Cricetulus griseus: one gene and its partners. The protein of the gene in region 1 interacts with the protein of each later gene in a pairwise test. Links are inferred from orthologs where the notes say so. Each region holds a gene or a part of one and is shown on either strand. Other genes may lie near its edges.

The links. The genes of interacting proteins can lie anywhere in the genome.
Region 2: the proteins of Spa17 (region 1) and Akap7 interact in a two-hybrid assay, tested with the Homo sapiens proteins (3 studies listed by BioGRID and IntAct). The two-hybrid records come from large-scale screens. The link is inferred for Cricetulus griseus from reciprocal best matches to the Homo sapiens genes SPA17 and AKAP7.
Region 3: the proteins of Spa17 (region 1) and Myl6b interact in binary tests that used the Homo sapiens proteins (3 or more experiments, as listed by UniProt). The two-hybrid records come from large-scale screens. The link is inferred for Cricetulus griseus from reciprocal best matches to the Homo sapiens genes SPA17 and MYL6B.

The regions. Positions count from the first base shown.
Region 1 is NC_048597.1:149,544,162-149,548,829, forward strand, and holds the end of Spa17 (sperm surface protein Sp17), read right to left. Parts: intron 1,779-4,668; coding exon 1,632-1,778; 3' UTR 1,464-1,631; downstream 1-1,463. UniProt on the Homo sapiens protein: Sperm surface zona pellucida binding protein. Helps to bind spermatozoa to the zona pellucida with high affinity. Might function in binding zona pellucida and carbohydrates.
Region 2 is NC_048595.1:244,453,303-244,459,584, reverse strand, and holds the start of Akap7 (A-kinase anchoring protein 7), read left to right. Parts: upstream 1-2,839; 5' UTR 2,840-2,864; coding exon 2,865-2,991; intron 2,992-3,218; exon of another isoform or gene 3,219-3,237; intron 3,238-3,510; exon of another isoform or gene 3,511-3,530; intron 3,531-6,282. UniProt on the Homo sapiens protein: Probably targets cAMP-dependent protein kinase (PKA) to the cellular membrane or cytoskeletal structures.
Region 3 is NW_023276806.1:129,395,600-129,401,751, reverse strand, and holds the start of Myl6b (myosin light chain 6B), read right to left. Parts: upstream 3,444-6,152; 5' UTR 3,307-3,443; intron 2,052-3,306; 5' UTR 2,006-2,051; coding exon 1,835-2,005; intron 1,297-1,834; coding exon 1,269-1,296; intron 1,024-1,268; coding exon 880-1,023; intron 394-879; exon of another isoform or gene 294-393; intron 1-293. UniProt on the Homo sapiens protein: Regulatory light chain of myosin. Does not bind calcium.

The DNA of each region.
Region 1 (4,668 bases):
CACTTGTCTGAGGATGGACTGCCCCACAACTATGTGACAGGGAGAGAAGAGAATCTCAAAACAGCCCAAGAGTAAAAACTTTCCATTGAAACCAGCTAGATAGAAGGCAAAGTATTTCCAACAGATATTATTACTCTTTACTGTTTATCCCACCATGTAGGGAGAATCCAGAAGTTCAGCTGTGGGAAATCTCATCCATGGACAGGAAGCCCAGGTAGGAACTCCAATTGACAGTCTCAATTTCTTTAGTTGGTTTCTGCTGGATAGAGTGAATGTCCAATTTGATAATGTCATTTGTATCTGTTGTTATCTGTGATTTCACTTAGAAGCCTCACCAGAGGGGACACTGCTCTTGCCCAGGATTCTATCTACCAGGAACTCTAGCTCACTGCCTCAATGGGGCTTTACCAGTTGATTTCTGCTAAGTGTTTTAAGCATTCAGGGTCTGTCTGTCTGTCTGTCTGTCTGTCTGTCTGTCTGTCTGTCTGTCTGTCTGTGTGCCTGCCTGGCTGCCTATCTACCCATCCATCCTCTATCATCCATCCCAACTTACTTTTATGTTAGGCATACTATATACTTAATAAACTCACTTATTCAAACTGAAAGTATAGCTATCATGGATCATTCTCCAGACTACATAGGTCACTATTTTCTCAGGTGGGAAACACCAAGAGAACTACAGCCTGGAGGTGGCAATATCAGGAGTTGTTTGGCAAGTTCGTTTTGAGAAACCTTACGTCCCAATAGGAATGCTAAGTAGGCAGTTGGCTATAAGAGGTTGGAGCTGGAGGGAAGCAAGGTCTGGCAATCATGTGCAGAGGTTTATGAAGTCATGCAGTCATGTGACTGGATGACGTGCACAGGTGAATATTAAAAAGGAGCCCTGTGTTTGGGTTTAGAGGGCCATCAGTGTCTAGTGGTTGGAGTAAATAGTAATCAGCAAAAGACTTTCAGGGAGGGTTACAGACTCAAGCCCTGTCTCAAGAAGACAAAGCCAAGCAAAACAAAAACTATAAGCTGTGTGGTTGATGCACCAAATAGTCACCACTAGTCCAGCCCGTGAAAGATGTTCAATACATTTTCAGGGAACGATTGCTTATTATGACACCTGAACATCAGTGGGGAAGGCCTAGTCGTTACTTATCTTTATAACAACCCAAACTATTAAAAAAAATTAGGGTTTAGTATATAGCTCAGTCAAGGTCCTGGGGTTCACTACCACCATCACTAAGAAAAAAACAGAAAGCAGACTATACTTCAAAGGAGGTGAGGTTATCAGCAGAAGAGAAACATGAAGCTTAGATTCCAGGGGTCAGGTAGAGCAGCTTTACTCACCAGCTATCAGACCACATAACCCAAGCTCTGAAGCCCTAGGTACTACTGTTCAGATGCTGAATTTAAGGTGTTTAGACACAGGCTGGGGACAAGAAGTGACAACTCTGCTCCCAGGGAAATTCAAGGGGTGTGTTTCAATGGCATGTTTATTAAACAAATGCTCATGACAGATTTTCACAACAGCAACAAATGTTATTCCACAACATCATATCTCCTTACTGAGAAAAAAATGACAATCGCAACACAGATGGATTTGATTACTTTTTCATGTTTCCTGGGGGGTAAAGCCAGTGTCCTCACTGGTCTTCCTCTCCTTTCGCTTGGGCACTTTTATCTGACCTCATTTTCTTTACCTCTTCTCTGGCCACATGTCCCCGGAAGACTGATTGGATTTTGAGAGCAGCGTACTCCTCCTTTTCCCTTTCTTCCTCAGTAGACTCCTCCTTCATCGAAAGGAGACAAAGTGAGAGACTTTTCCAGAATGCTGCCTTTTTGATGCCTCAAAAATGAATGTATAGATATAACTGATTTACAAATGCAACCATTTTGAGGGCTGTTCCTTCCTGGAGGGATTTTATACATTATCACATTGTGTGTATGTGTGTACCAAAGGCCAAATGCCTAAAGAGCAGGCATTCAGCTTGCCACTCTTTAATATGTCTTAATACAAGATCATTGCCAACTTCTTTTCTCTTGTTCCCAGACAGCACCCATTTAAAGTTGCCTGAGAAATAGCATTGTGTTTAGGGTGGGGAAGCAAGAAAGAATCCTTGAAGTACTACTGTGTCTATGTTAACATCAGTACATGTGCTGTTTTGAAATAATTGTGATTTTATAAGATGGATAAAAATGTTAATTCTAATTTCTAAATGTTTAGACAATTAAAACCACACATTAAGAGGTGGAACATCAAAGAGAAAGTCAGTTTATTAATATTGGGCTTATCAGTTGGCTAAACAGGGACATACAGTTTCTTCTTTTTTTAAACAGGTATAATTTACAGATGGCAAAATTCATGGATCCTAAATGTAGAACTGAAAAAATATATGGCCCTTAATGTACCTTTTTAAAGTTACAAACATGATAAGTACATATTAAAATCTCCTCAATCTATCACTTGTTGAAACATTTTCACTTCCCCAGCTCTTGTTCTTAAAAAGTAACCATTATTGGAATGAGTCTACCACAAGATCCAGCAATTCCACTCTTAGGCATATACCCAAAAGAAGCACATTCATACAAGGACATCTGTTCAATGATGTTCATAGCAGCACTATTGTAATAGCCAGAAACTGGAAGCAGCCTAGATGCCCCTCAACTGAAGAATGGATAGAGAAAATGTGGTACATTTACACAATGGAGTACTACTCAGCAGAAAAAAAAAAAAAAAAAACAATGGAATCTTGAAATTTGCAGGAAAATGGATGGAACTAGAAGAAACCATTCTGAGCAAGGTAACCCAATCACAAAAAGACAAACATGATATCTACTCACTCATATGTGGATTTTAGACATAGAGTAAAGGATTACCAGCCTACAATCCACACTGCCAGAGATGCTAGTAAACAAGGAGGACCCTAAGAGAGACATACATGGTCCCCTGGAGAAGGGGAAAGGATCAAGATCCCCTGAGCAAATTGAGAGCACAGGAAGAGGGGGGAGGGAGCTACGAGAATGAGAAGGGGAGAAGAGGAAGGATGAAGAGGTCATGAGGGAGCAGAAAGGTTGAGCCAAGGGAAGAATAGAAGAAAGGGTATGTGATAAGTAGGGTTTTAGTTGGGGGGTGTTAGGGGAGGACGGGAGGGAGAAGGGAACTGGGATTGTCATGTAAAACAATCTTGTTTCTAATTCAAATAAAAAATGATTTTAAAAAAGTAACCATTTTTGTAGGTTGTGTGTCTCTATGTGTATTTGTGTATATTTATACATTCTTCCAAAATTTCTCTATGTATGAGTCCATTTACATGAGACACATTTGTTTTTCATTTTTAAACAAGACCATACTAATTGGAGTGCTCTACAGCTACTTTCCCCATGGAACCAACACATCTGGGTTCTCTTCTTTGCTATTATTTCGTATGTAATTTTGCTCAGTTTTAATGGGAGGGACATGGCCACTATGTTCCATTGTACTGATATCACTCACCAGAGATTTAGTCATTCAGTCAACAATTGACTGACCTTTGAGATGTTCAATCCCCTCCATTACAGCGAGTTAAGTTTAGCTCTTAAACTTTAAATGCAAATAGACTGGCATAAAATTCTGTGAGATGATTCTCTAATATGGGCAAGTGAATTACTCTTAAGTTAAAAATCAATGGAACTGTAACACAAACTTGTAACAGCTTATAAAAGAGCATCTATAAGAGAAATGAGGAAATGTTTCCATTTTTCTATATCTCTGAATTCCTATTACATCTGATGCCATTGTTAGACTAATTGGGCTGTATCAGTATTATTCTAGAATAATTGAATAATGTAAGGAAAGAATGTATCTCAGTAGGGTATGTTCATTTTAGGCATCAATATTGCTGAGATACTAGGACATGAAAAGGAACTCAAAGGTTTGAACTCTGACATTGTACAGAATGAATTCTTTTACACAAAACCAGGTTTGCCTTCCTTCCTTCCTTCCTTCCTTCCTTCCTTCCTTCCTTCCTTCCTTCCTTCCTTCCTTCATCCCTCCCTCTCTCTCTCTCTCTCTCTCTCTCTCTCTCTCTCTCTTTCCTTCTTTTTTTTGAGACAGGGTTACTTTGTGTAGCCTTGGCTGTCCTAGAACTAGCTCTGTAGAGCAGGCTGGCCTTAAACTCACAGGAATCTGCCTCCCAAATGCTGGGATTAAAGGCATGTGCTGCTGCCACCACCACTAGGGAAAGCCTGGTTTTTCTTAGTTTGGACTATGAAGAATACAGGCAGTGATGTTGTGGTAAATGTTTAACTGGCTCTACAGAGAAATAATAGAACCACACAATATTTCCCTCCTAAATACCACCAAAGCTCTGGTTTGTAGTGTTTACCTTAGTCTCAATATGCTTAGATGGCTGATTTTAAGTTATCAAAATGATGTTTGTTGCTTTGTACACAATTATCTCCAAGTAATGGCTTTAGCACACCACTGAATAGAGATTGTTAATATCTTTGAGGATGGATTTTCCTATTTGTGTGTGGCTTGGATGTAGAATATCAAGGCAGGCAAGCATTTCTATAGAAGACCTTGCAGGAAACTGTGTAAGGCCATTTTATTTGGTGGTATGTAATTGTTTTCCTTTAGTTATTTCTAACCTTTGCCTTTGTGTGGTGGCAACAGCAAAAAGTAGTAAAAAACTCCCAAAG
Region 2 (6,282 bases), on another chromosome or scaffold:
CCTGTTTCCCTTCAGAAAAGAGCAGGCCTCCCAGGGATATCAATCAAACATGGTATAACACATTACAGTAAGACTAGGCATAAACCCTCATATCAGTGCTGGGTGAGGCAACCCAGTAGGAGGAAAAGGGATCCAAGAACAGGTGAAAGAGTCAGAGATACCCCCATCTCCACTGTTAGGAGTTCACAAAAACACCAAGCCAACAACCGTAACATATTGGCAGAGGACCTAGGACAGACCCATGCAGGCTCAGTGATTGCCTCTTCAGTCTCTGTGAGTCCACACAAAACCCTGCATAGTTGATTCTGTGGGCCGTGCTCTCCTGGTGTCCTCAACTACTCTGCCTCCTACAATTCTTTCTCCCTGCCTCTTCCTTGGGGTTCCAGAGCTTGAGGGGAGGGACCTGATTGTGATCTCCAATTTGGGCTTTCTCTGGGCCTAATGATTGGCTGTGGCTCTCTGTATCAGTTCCCATTAGCTGCTTGAGGAGGCCTCTCTGATGACCACTGACTGGGCTAGGCACCAGATCTATGAATATAGCAGACTATCATTAGGAATCTTTTTGTTTGTTTTTTCATTTTTTCTATCCTAGTTCTCAGGGATATCAAAGCCTGGTCATCCAGGCAGTTTTGGTCCTGGGCTTCATTACTTGGTATGGGTCTCAAAGTAGACGTGCCATTGGTTGGCTACTCCCACGAATCTTGTGCCTCAATTGACCCAGCACATCTTGCGGGCAGGATAGATTACAGTCTACAGGTTGAAGGTTTTACAGCTGGGTTGGTGTCCCAATCCTATCACTGGAAGTTTTGTCACAAGACTAAGGATTGCACCACAGATACAGGGTTAGAAATAGAAGCACTGTGCCTTGTTTTTGGTTTTTTAAAGGACATGCAGGACCTGCTTTTCCCAGGTATGTATAGTATTATTTCTTTGGATTATGCTGTTGTTACACAAAGCCTGGGGGGGGGGGGTCCAGACTTTGCAAATTGGCTTCTGGCTTCCTACCCATGTTAATCTTGCTGTTTCAGTCTGCTGTCCTGGCTCTCCAGTCACATTAAAAAAAAAAAAAAAAAAAAAAAAAAAAGTCCTTACTAAGAGAAATGCATCTTCTACTTCCAGACAGAAAAGGGAAGGGCAAAGAATTGTTTCTCTGTCTGTGGCTTCTAAGTTGCTTTTAGCTCCAACTAATCCTTATGCCAAAGTGGCATATTCCCTACCCTGTCCAGCTTAGCTGGTCTTGAACTCCCCATGTAGCCTAGGCTGGCCTTTGAATTCAAGATCCTCCTGCCTCCCTTACTTATTTTTTTTTCTCTGTAATTAGATAATCTGCTCCTATAAAAACACTGTCTTACCCGCACAAAAAGGGCTGGAACCTTAAACATTAAGTAAGGTTGTATCTTTGTATCTCTTTACCAGCTTCTTGGTGCTATGGGTAGAGCAAACAGACAGCTAGAGGTCACAGTAGCCCCCTTTGAGGTTTTCAAGTGTATGGTCTTCATGTCAATTTCTAACTATTGTTTTTTTTTAAGATCGGGTCTCACTATGTAGGTCAAGCTGTTCTGGAACTTGCTATGCAACCCCAAGGTGGCCCCGATCTCCAGCTACACAGTTCTGGAGTGTGGTGACAAAGGCTGTCCCACTAAGACAACTTGTGTCAATTACTGTAGTTATATGGGGGTCTTCTTTGTTTTCCTGCCCATTCTGGGATATATTCATGATAAGTGAAGTGTTCTCAAAGTGGGCTGGATCAGTTTGTTGTTCTTGGTCCAGCACCCTGTTTTCTTGAATTAAAACATGCAACATTTTTAACAAGCATAGTAAAACATACCCTTTAGATACGTAAAAATTGCTTAGTCAGAAAACTCATCTGATAATCAGAACCCACTGGCGTCATTCACTCAAGACAAACAGACGACTACAACACCACACCTCTCACTGGGCAGTATTTAAGCAGAGACCAAGAGCAATGCCCTGCTCTGGACATCTGGAGAGGCAGCACCTTGATCTGCCTTGCAGCTGGAGAGGCTAAGAGACTGGACCTGACCTTCAGCTAAGAGACGACCCACAGGTGAGCAGCCTTGGGGAGACAGGCTTAGGACCTTAGTTAGGAACTTAAAGACTGTGAACTGTGTGATGACCCTCAGCATAATAAAATATAACGTTTGCTATACCAACTATGCATAACTACCTGCTTGCCCCCCCCCATGCCCTCCCAAACAAACCACCAACAATAATACAAAAAACAAACTCAATAACGCCACCATTCGCCCCTAGCTGGGAAAAACTAATAATATTCTGTACCAAGGCAAAAAGTATTCATACCTTACTATTTTTTAAGTTAATTGCTTTCTCTTCTATTTTACTTAGATACTGAGGACCCTGTTCTGCAAAGCTCAGTAGATGATTTCCACTCATCTAGCTATTCCAACTTGTAGCTATTAAACTGCTGTTAAAAATTGCAGACTGCGTCCCAATTTGGCTTTTTTTTTTTTTTTTTTTTTTTTTTGGTAAAGCAGAGTAAATAAAGCATCTCATACCGATGTACAAGACCTTGCTCTTGTACATGTCGCTCTTCCCACATATTTTGCAATCAGAACTGTGTTTTCAAAGCTCCAGGCTAAACCAAACACCCGGATTCTCAAGAGACAGCAGGCCAAGGAATGCTTTCAGCCCGTCCCAATCTCGCCCCTCGAAGCGTGGGACGGGAAGGGCCGCGCCGCAGGAAACAACGGAGGGCGGCCAGAGGTCGGAGCCCAGCGCGGCCCCGGGGACGGCCCCGCCTCCCGAGTCCGGCCCCAATCCGGGTACCCGCGCCCAAGCGGCTCGGCCCCTTCCGGCTCCTCCCGAAGCGGCGAGTGCCGGGGATGCTGCGCCTTGCGGGGCTCCGCGCCTCCGCAGGCCTGGCCGCCGCGGCCAGCGCCCCCGCCACCCCGCGCCCCCCGGGCCTCCGCCTCCTCCTCCGCCCCGCGACCATGGAGCGCCCCGCCGCGGGTGAGAGCGAGCGCACCGCCCTGCGCGCCCAGAGCCGCCCCTGCCTTGGGGCGTGCTCGCCGCCCTGCTCCGCCTCCCAGGCCTCCCGCAGCCCCACGCCCCTCGCGTTCCTTCCCTCCTGCACCCAGACACTGGGCTGTGCCTGCAGTCCGGTGCACCCCCGTGCTCAGGGCACCGTGCTTGCACCCCCGTGCTCGGCACCGTGCTTGCAGCGATGCGTCACGGGTGCACTACTCCACACCGCGGGTGACGACTTGTTTTTTTTACCTCTTCGGATCTCGTGACACATGGCCCAAAGTTTTTGCAACATCCCTCCCTACTGTGTTGGGGCCGTAAAAGAAACCAAGGGGGGGGCAAAAAACCCTCCATTTTATTTTATTTATTTTTTCTAAATGCAAATTGAAACTTCTGAACGCCATTTTGTATCATTTAGGGTTTTATTTGAGGTTTGGAAATGAGCACTTTAAAAGTGGCGCCAATTTGCTGGCGCCCAGAATGAACTTGAGCTTGGGTCGTCTTCTGCTATGTGCTGAACTTGGGTAGGATAATTAGGGGCTGGACTTTGAGGGAAAGGAACTAAAAAGTAATTAGGGGAAAAACAAGTGTTCATTAAGATCGCTATATCCTAAACGTATACAAAGCATAAGAATATTAAAATATGTTGTACAAACATGCTAAGAATGTAAATACTTTATATATAAAGTATGTAAATAGTATAAATGTGTTTATGACTTTCATGTGAATGGAAAGATCCGTATCTTGTGGGGAGATGCCAAAGTGTTTCTGCTTGAGATGATTTTTTTTTTTTTCTTATGACATGCAAGGGTGTGGATAATAGAGCAGACATGGAAGGGGAGAGGACTCCTCCCACCCATTTACAGTGTGGCTTTGCAGTTTAGGATGCTGTTAGCTTATCTTACATGTTTCCCATATAGTAACAAAGCTTAAGGTACTTGTCGAAGTTACTGGGTCCTTACTTTATGTAGTGATCTGTCAATCTCTCCTTAATAATTTATATTGTTCCCTTTCCATGATGAGGAAGGGAAACATGAAGATTAAGTGGCTTGATTGCCTTGAAGTTTAAACATTTCTGGAGACCTGCTACTCTACTGTTTTTAACAGCTAATTGAAGTAGCTAGACCACAATGAACGACAGGCCCTTTTATAGCTGTTTAGCTCAGGGATCAGAAGAGAGCCTTGCTTATACTGGGACTGTATATCACTGTTCAAATATGAAGCCTGTTTTGTATGTCTTAGGCAGTCTGTCTTTATGTTTTCTGTTTGCTTGACTTTGATGATATTATTGGCTGAAGTGGAGCTATGATTTGAATATTTGATTGTAGTTAGATGATATTTTAGAAGGCACTTTAAATATATACATTGACAGTTTTTCTAAAAGTAACATTCAGTTTAAAAACAATTTAGTACAGCAGTTGGAAAGTGTTTAGCATTCAGAAATACATTTTAGCCTTTATTCTTCCTCTTTCTAACTGTAAATCTTGAGAGCATACAGTTTTCCCTCTGCTTTTTAATTAATCTTACGTTTGTCTGTTTTTGTAATGCTGGAGACCAAACCTAGGGATTTGTGCACACTAAGTCTACCAGAGCTACACCCTTGACCATGAATCTTTTTTTTGTTTTTTTATGATTTATTTATTATGTATACAGTGTTATGCTTGCATGTATGCCTGCAAGACAGAAGGAGGGCACCAGATCTCCTTACAGATGGTTGTGAGCCACCATGTGGTTGCTGGGAATTGAACTCAGAACCTCTGGAAGAGCAGCCAGTGCTCTTAACCTCTGAGCCATCTCCCCAGCTCCCATATGTCTATTTGTCTGAGAGTCACCTTTCCCCTGTTGTTACACTCTGTCATATCTGTTGTTGTCAGTCACCAGAGTGAGCATGCAGTGTTTAAATGACCCTCTTTTCTTTTTCTTCCAAGCAAGGTTGTGAGGAGTTGTGTTAAGTGTATATGATAGAAACCCACATTTTTGAAAGAACCTTAGACCATCTTCTTGGTCATGATTTATTGGCACATTGCTTTCTGAAAGATCTGTCTCAGTTTACAGTGCTGCAGTCAATACATTGTAAGGTTTATGGTACAGGGCATACATAGTTGATTCTGAAAATTGTGGGTCATGTACCAGAGTCACTTGATACAGATGGCAGCTCTTGAATCTACTTTGCTCATGGACAAGTGACTAAATTGTCTAGTTGGCGTAATGATAGTCTTCACTGATAACATAGTTGTATGGATTAAGTGATTATTTCCCAGAGTGCTCCTAGTTGAGTGTGCCCAGCATAAAGTACCTACGTGTTGGTTAGTGTTAGTAATGCTAATTTCCAGTTTCAATTCATTTTTGTTATTAGTGTAACATTTACCCCTGTGGTTGTTTGAATTTGTGCAAAAGATAAATTTTGTTTTAATTAACGACAGAACAAATTTTTGGGTGACTAAAATTTTTTGTGCCATGTAGCTCACATGTGCTGGAATTGCAGGTGTGACTCAACATGCATGGCCTAGGTGACTTTAATTTATTTATTTACTTTGTAGAGTTGAATCTCAGCCTGGTACCTGGCAAACAAAGGCTCTTATGGTGGTCTATCCCAAACTTTATTAACTTTTAATTTGAGACAAAAATCTCACTAAGTTACTTATATAGGGTGATTTTGAATGTACAGTCTGGTCTCAGCTCCCCAAATACCTGGGGTTACAGACCCATGTTACCAGGCCCAGCATATCGAAGCATCATAGCAGTCACAACAATGAATTTATGGTTTACATGCTTAAGGATCAACTGGTTGAAAGCAGTTTTTCTGAAGTGAAGTCTTTACACCTTGTGTAAGAGGAAGCATTGTTGTGGTGGATGTATTTAGTTATATCCCTCAGCCTTTGCCCAAATCCTAGCACTTACAACCTAGTTCAAGGCTTCCTGTAAGGGGAAAATAGGCCTTAAAATATACCTAGCCTGCTGAACATCATTGCTTAGCAACACAGTCCACTCTAAGAGTATTGATTCTTTCATGTCAAGATCCTGGGGCCACCTGGAAGCTGGGGCTTACTCCGCATTACGTGGGGGGGGGGGTGATCTCATTTTCCCAGTCTGGGAAGAGAACAACCCCCAAATTTGAATATTTCTATTTAATGTTCACTGCTTTCCTGAATAGCTGTCAGGAAGGAAAGTTGAACAGGTATCAAGATTCTGACCGTATTTCTCAGACTCAAGAGACTCTGTCCATCCCATGCCCTGCCTCCTTGGCTCTGAGATCTTGAACCCACCTCTTGCCCT
Region 3 (6,152 bases), on another chromosome or scaffold:
AGGTTCAAGGGCAGCAGATGCCAGAGTGAAGTCAAGGCTGTCCCCCAAGAAACTTAGTGAGTGTCTCAGAGAGTAAAAGAGCAAGGCTCAGCAATAAAGGGCTTGCCCGTCTTCCACAGGCACCAGATTCCACTCCAGCACCACACAAACTGGAGTGATCCCAGCACTCTGTGGTAGGCAGAAGTAGTCAGGAGGTAGAGGATCGGAATTTAAGGTCATTCTTGGCTAGCATACTGAGACCCTTGTTGTGGGGAGGCGCGAAGAAAGTTACAGGCTGGAAATGGAGCTCAGTTGTGCTTCAGCAGCACATCTACTAAAATGGGAACAATGCCAAGATTAGCATGATCCCAGCACAAGGATGACACACGAATTTGTGAAGTGTTCCATATTAAAAAAAAAAAAAAAGGAAGAAAAGGCCAAGCGGAGCTGGGCGTTGGTGGCTCACACCTTTAATCCCAGCACTCAGGAGGCAGAGGCAGGCGGATCTCTCTGAGTTCGAGACCAGCCTGGTCTACAAGAGCTAGTTCCAGGACAGTCTCCAAAGCCACAGAGAAACCCTGTCTCGAAAAAACCAAAAAAAAAAAAAAAAAAAAAAAAAAAAAAGCCAGGCGGTGATAGTGCACGCCTTTAATCCCAGCGCTCAGGAGGCAGAGGCAGGAGAATCTCTGTGAGTTCGAGGCCAGCCTGGTCTACAGAATGAGTTCCAGGACAGCCAGGGCTACACAGAGAAACCCTGTCTAGAAAAAAAAAAAAAAAAAAAAAAACAAAAAAACAAAAAACGGGGGCGAGCTTAGCGTCCCAGGGCAGAGCCCTGTATTCAATCTCCAGCACCAAGAAAAAGAAGACTGAAAAGCCCACATATCCCAAGGTTCCTCTCACCATCACTCTTGGGGTTCCCCAGGACCTTCAGCACCTCGGCGTTGGTAGGGTTCTGGCCCAGGGCTCTCATCAAGTCCCCACACTGGCTGTACAGGATCTTGCCATCACCCACTCGGTCAAACAGCTCAAAGGCCTCTTTGAACTCTGAGATGCAAGCAGAAGGCAGTGTCGACCAGGGAATTCGCATCACCTCAGACATAAAGGAGGTTCAGTTGGGAAATGAGGTGCTAGAGCAGGGCAGAGCACTGTGTGCTGCAGCTGGACGAAGCAAGGGAGGTTAAGAGGACAAAAGTGTGGGAGGTTTCAAGGTCAGAACTGTAGTTGAGAGAACAGAGGATCTGACCAGTGGTTTGGGATTGGACAATGGGGTTTAGGAAAAGGCTTCTCACCCTCCAGCTGGTCCTTGTTAAACTCGATCTGTGAGGGGGGTACGGGGAGAGCAAGTAAGGAGAGATGACAGAGTCTTTTCAATCCCTCTCTAGCTCTCCCAACCTACTGGCAGCCACTTCTGGGGAGGGGCCCTGCCACTTCAGTCCCATTCCCAGCTCTGGGCCTTGGGAGAATCCCAAGAGGAATTATAGGGGGAGGGTTTCCTGGGAACAGGGTTAATCCCATGCCACCTGTTCCCCTCCCTCCACTGCCCTGAGCCCTGCATCCCTCACATAACTGGGGGCTGAACAAAGGCTAAATTTACCCCTGCCCCCAGCTGTGATTGTCTAACAAGCCTGTCCTCTTCAGTCCCCCCTCCTGAGGTTCAGAGATGTGGCCTTTTGAGTTAGCTAGCCAGGGGCAGACAGCAGCTCTCTCCCTTCACCTTGAAACTGGCCTGGCCTGGGAACCCCCAAACTCATAGTGTTCATTCATCCCCTACTTTTCCCAAACATTCCCTAATCCGCTAGGCTGTATCACATCCTTGAACCGCCCGCTTCCAAATTCGCACTTTGCTGGGACTTACCACCACTTTGGAGAGATCAACAGGGGGCTCCTGGGTTTTTGCAGGAGTCTGGGGGGCAGCTGACTCAGTCTTGGTCTTGGCTGGAGTGGTCCCTGCTGTAGACCTGGCAGCAGGCTTAGAGATGGAGGGTCCTGCTGGTTTCTTCACAGGAACATCCTTCTTGGGAGGCATGATGTCAGGTGGCCAAAGGACAGTGTGCCGGTGGGGGCACCCATCTCTGTTTAAATAGGCAGGGAGTCTGGGATGTCAAGGGGCGGGGGCAGGGGCAGGGAGCCAGTTGGCGGTGGCAAGGGTGAGGGACAGGAGAGTTATGTGAGTCTGCCTTCACTCCCCTGGCCTCCTGTAGCTCAGGACTCCTGCCCCAAAGTTTTCTTCCCTCTGCCACTCCTCCCCCAAAGCTGACAAGAATATTGTTTCCTTTAAGGGCAGGGGGAAGAAACAAGAGACTTCTCAGATTTAACCTCCAGGGTAAGACTAGGATGCTTGCCAGTGATACTGAGATAGATAGGAGTGAAGAGAAGAGGGGGGGAAAAAACCTCAACAAACAAAAAAACCCTGCATTAGCCCAAGCAATGGAAGGACTTGGGGATGGAGTGGGACCTGGCCAGCTTAGGAAGAGCCTATTGTGAAGTGGGAAAATCTTAACTAAGGTCTGGAAACAGTAAAAGGTGTGTTTGTGATGGGGGTGTCTTTCCACACCCTTTGCCCATACCCATAGTTTAATGAACATTAAAAGTGTAGTCCCTGGGCCCTCACCTGCCCCCAACCTGGAATATGCACAGGAACCGAACAGTGACTTTACCCACTGTCTTCTGCACCTAGTGCTGATTTATGGGTGCAGGTGTCGACAGGTTTGGGTTTAACATGTGCCACACACAATTCCAAAGAAAGAACGTTTTTCAACAAGGTACTGTTATCAAATCGGACAGAAGGTTAGGATGCCTAATGAGCTTGGAGGGAACGCGCGGGCGAACACACACACACACACACACACACACACACACACACACACACACACACGTGAAGGGAGGGTTCTGGGAAACAATGAGCCTAGATTCGCTAATCCAAAAGGTGACAGGGTCTCCTCTGGGTTTGGTGGGTATTCCCACACCCACACTGCAATCAGCCCCATGATAAAAACCTGAGCTCAGCTTTAAGTCACAAACCTTGCTGCCAGCGCTGGCAAAGGGAAGGGGTCGCGTTTGGGAGCTGGGAGGAGGTTCTGGCAACTCTATTCTTGGAGAAAGAAGATTTGGATAGCATTCTGAGAAACTGGTCATTCCACTTAGGCCCTGAGACTCGGGTAGAGATAGTGTGTCTCCTATTTGCAAAAGGGCGTCAGGTTCTTTTCACTGCAAATTGTCCCATTTTTTGGAAAATAAGAAATCCTTCTGCAGACAACACGCCTGTCTCTCTCATTCATACTCCTAAACCACAGAGGGAAAAGGCCCACCCAACCCTGCAAAACTCACCTTGCCGGGTGCGAAGAAGGGCCGGGGGGTAAGGGGGGCGGGGTGAGACTAAGGGCTGTTCCAGGCCGGGAGGGGTTAACTGGGGCGACCGCGGAGCATGCCGGGAGTTGTAGTCCGTGCGCGCTCACCGGAAACCTCTCTCCTTCGGTGAGAAGTGGCGATGACTTCCGGCCCGCGGTGGCAGTTGGTGACTCAGACTCGGCAGTGTTCGCGGGTTCCGGAACGGAAAGGGCTTGCTCTTCTCCACCCATGACCCCACGGCTGCGGACCAGGGACGCCCGCAGGGCTCGGGGCGTGGCTGCAGCTGCGATCCGATCGCTTTCGCTTCCTGCAGCAAGCAGTTAGCTGCGGAGAAGCAAGCCCGCGGGATCGTGTGGCCTGGAGCAGTAACTTGCAAAGTTTTGAATCTTTTTTTCTTCTGTCATTTTTACATTTGATCTTAGGAAGCTGGTTCCCGAAGTAGATGTTAAGATTTGCACTTAAGCCTGGTCCCCTGTCCCAGACAATTTGAGCCATGCGTGGGTTTGCCCTGCGGTGCCCCCCGGGGTTCAGAGATGCCCTGAAATGCAGCGCAGGGCTGCACAGCCCTTCCCTTCTCAGACACCACTGCCCAGCCGGGACGTTCGCCCTCTCTCCCTGGCGTTTACCAAAGGCCTGAGTGCCGAGAGGGAACAGGACCACCGTCCCGAGCCAGCCGAGTAAATGCTCTCTGGCGGGGTGCCTCAAGCTTGTGAAAGCAAGCGGACCAGAAATAGCCCAGCGTAGAGAACTCCCGGTGGTACCGTAGGAACAATGAGGCACGAGCCAACTTTGTGGCCAGAAACGCACTCTTCCTGGCTGGAGAAAGCTCCCGAAGAGTAAAAAGGTCTGTACCGGTGCTGGGGTGTAGCTCACTTGGTATAGTGTTTGCTCACCAAGCACAAAGCTCTGGGGTCCCGGCACTCAGGAGGTGCAGGCAGGAAGAATCAGATGTCATTGGCCATAGGAAGTTGAAGCCAGCCTGTGCTACAGGAGATCCAGTCCCACAAAACAGAAAGGAAAGAAATAACATGATATAGGAAACAATATTCCTGGAGGCTCTCTCTCCTCCTGAGACTGGGGACTGATAAAGGGAGTGTGACTTCTCTGGGGTCACTTTCTGTGGAGGTGATAAAGAATATGGGCTCAGACAAGCATTTTCTCTCACTCGGCCCTCCTGTAAAATAACTCATAATTAGGCATGTTAAAGTTTTTAAGGTTTATGGATTTATTTGTTTCTTATTTATTGAGACAGGGTCACTACATAGCCCTGACTGTCCTGGAACTCACTGTTTAGACCAGGCCGGCCTAGAACTCACACCACAGAGATCCACCTGTCTCCCTCCCAGTTATGATAAAGCACCAGGGGGACCTGAGTGGATTCCATGGCAGTCGAGGGTGACCAAGGCAGAGGGACAAACATGTCGGGGCGGACAGAGCTTAGTTTTGTTAGAAAGGGAAGGGGGTGGGAGAAGGAAAGAGAAAAGAGGCAAAGAGACACAGAAACAGAGGACAGAAGAGAAGAGGAAGACAGGAAAAGTTCTATCTGCCCCAGGGGAACCACAGGAAAGAGAGAGGGAAAAAGAAAGGAAATGCCTGATTCCTTTCATTCCCAAGAAATGGGATTGAAGGCATGTGCCACCATGTACCCAAGGTTATATTTTTATGAGTGAATGTTTTGCCTGCATGTAAGTGTGTACCATGTGTATGCCCAATGCCTTAGGAGGTCACAGACCTCATTGGATCCCTTGGAACTGTAGTTTCAGAAAGTTGCACACTGCTGTGTGGGTGGGTATTGGGAACCGAACGGAACCGGAACCCTGATCCAGTGCTCTTAACCATGGAGCCATTTCTCCTGCCATATAGTTAGACATGTTAACTGTTTTGTTTTGTTTTGTTTTTGTTTTTTTTGAGACAGGGTTTCTCTGTGGCTTTGGTGACTGTCCTGGAACTAGCTCTTGTAGACCAGGCTGGTCTCTAACTAACAGAGATCTACCAGCCTCTGTCTCCCGAGTGCTGGGATTAAAGGCGTGCGCCACCACCGCCCGGCAACATGTTAACATTTATGAGACAGAATGGAATATAAGTGCTACAAACATGTCAAGAATGGGGCTGGAGAGATGGCTCAGAGGATAAGAGCACCGCCTGCTCTTCTAGAGGTCCTGAGTTCAATTCCCAGCAACCACATGGTGGCTCACAACCATCCATTTTGAGATCTGGTCCCCTCTTCTGGTGTGCAGATATACACGGAAGCAGAATGTTGTAAACATAATAAATAAAATCTTAAAAAAAATCGAATCGAGAAACTGAGAATTTAGCTCTGTGGTAGAGTACAGGGGATTTTGGGAGTTAAGGAGAGTGGTTATGTTGGACTGGGAACATAGTTCCCTTGTGTCTCCCTAGCATTCACAAAGTCCAGAATCAGATAAAGTAGACAGGTGGCACACACCAACTATCCTACCACTCAAGAGGTGGAGCCAGGAGAGTTCGAGGCTCAGAGATAGCTGCAACTATATAGTTTTAGTCCAGTCTGGGTCACATGAAGACCTAGTCTTAAACCAGAAAGAGAACTCAAGAAAGCAGGTGTGGTGGTGCCTATGTGTAACCCCAGGTCTGGAGATGGCGGAAGAACAAACGTTAGAGAACAGCCTGGGTTATATAGCAAGACTACCTCTCCAAAAACAGCCGTAAAAGGGGCTGCAGTTAGAGCTTGACAGGACAGCAATTGTCTGCAATGGTTCAGGTTCTAGGGTCAGTCTCCATCACCAAAAAAAAAAAAAAAAAAAAAAAAAAAAAAAAAATTGTTTTAAGGCAAGGTCTCTTGAAAC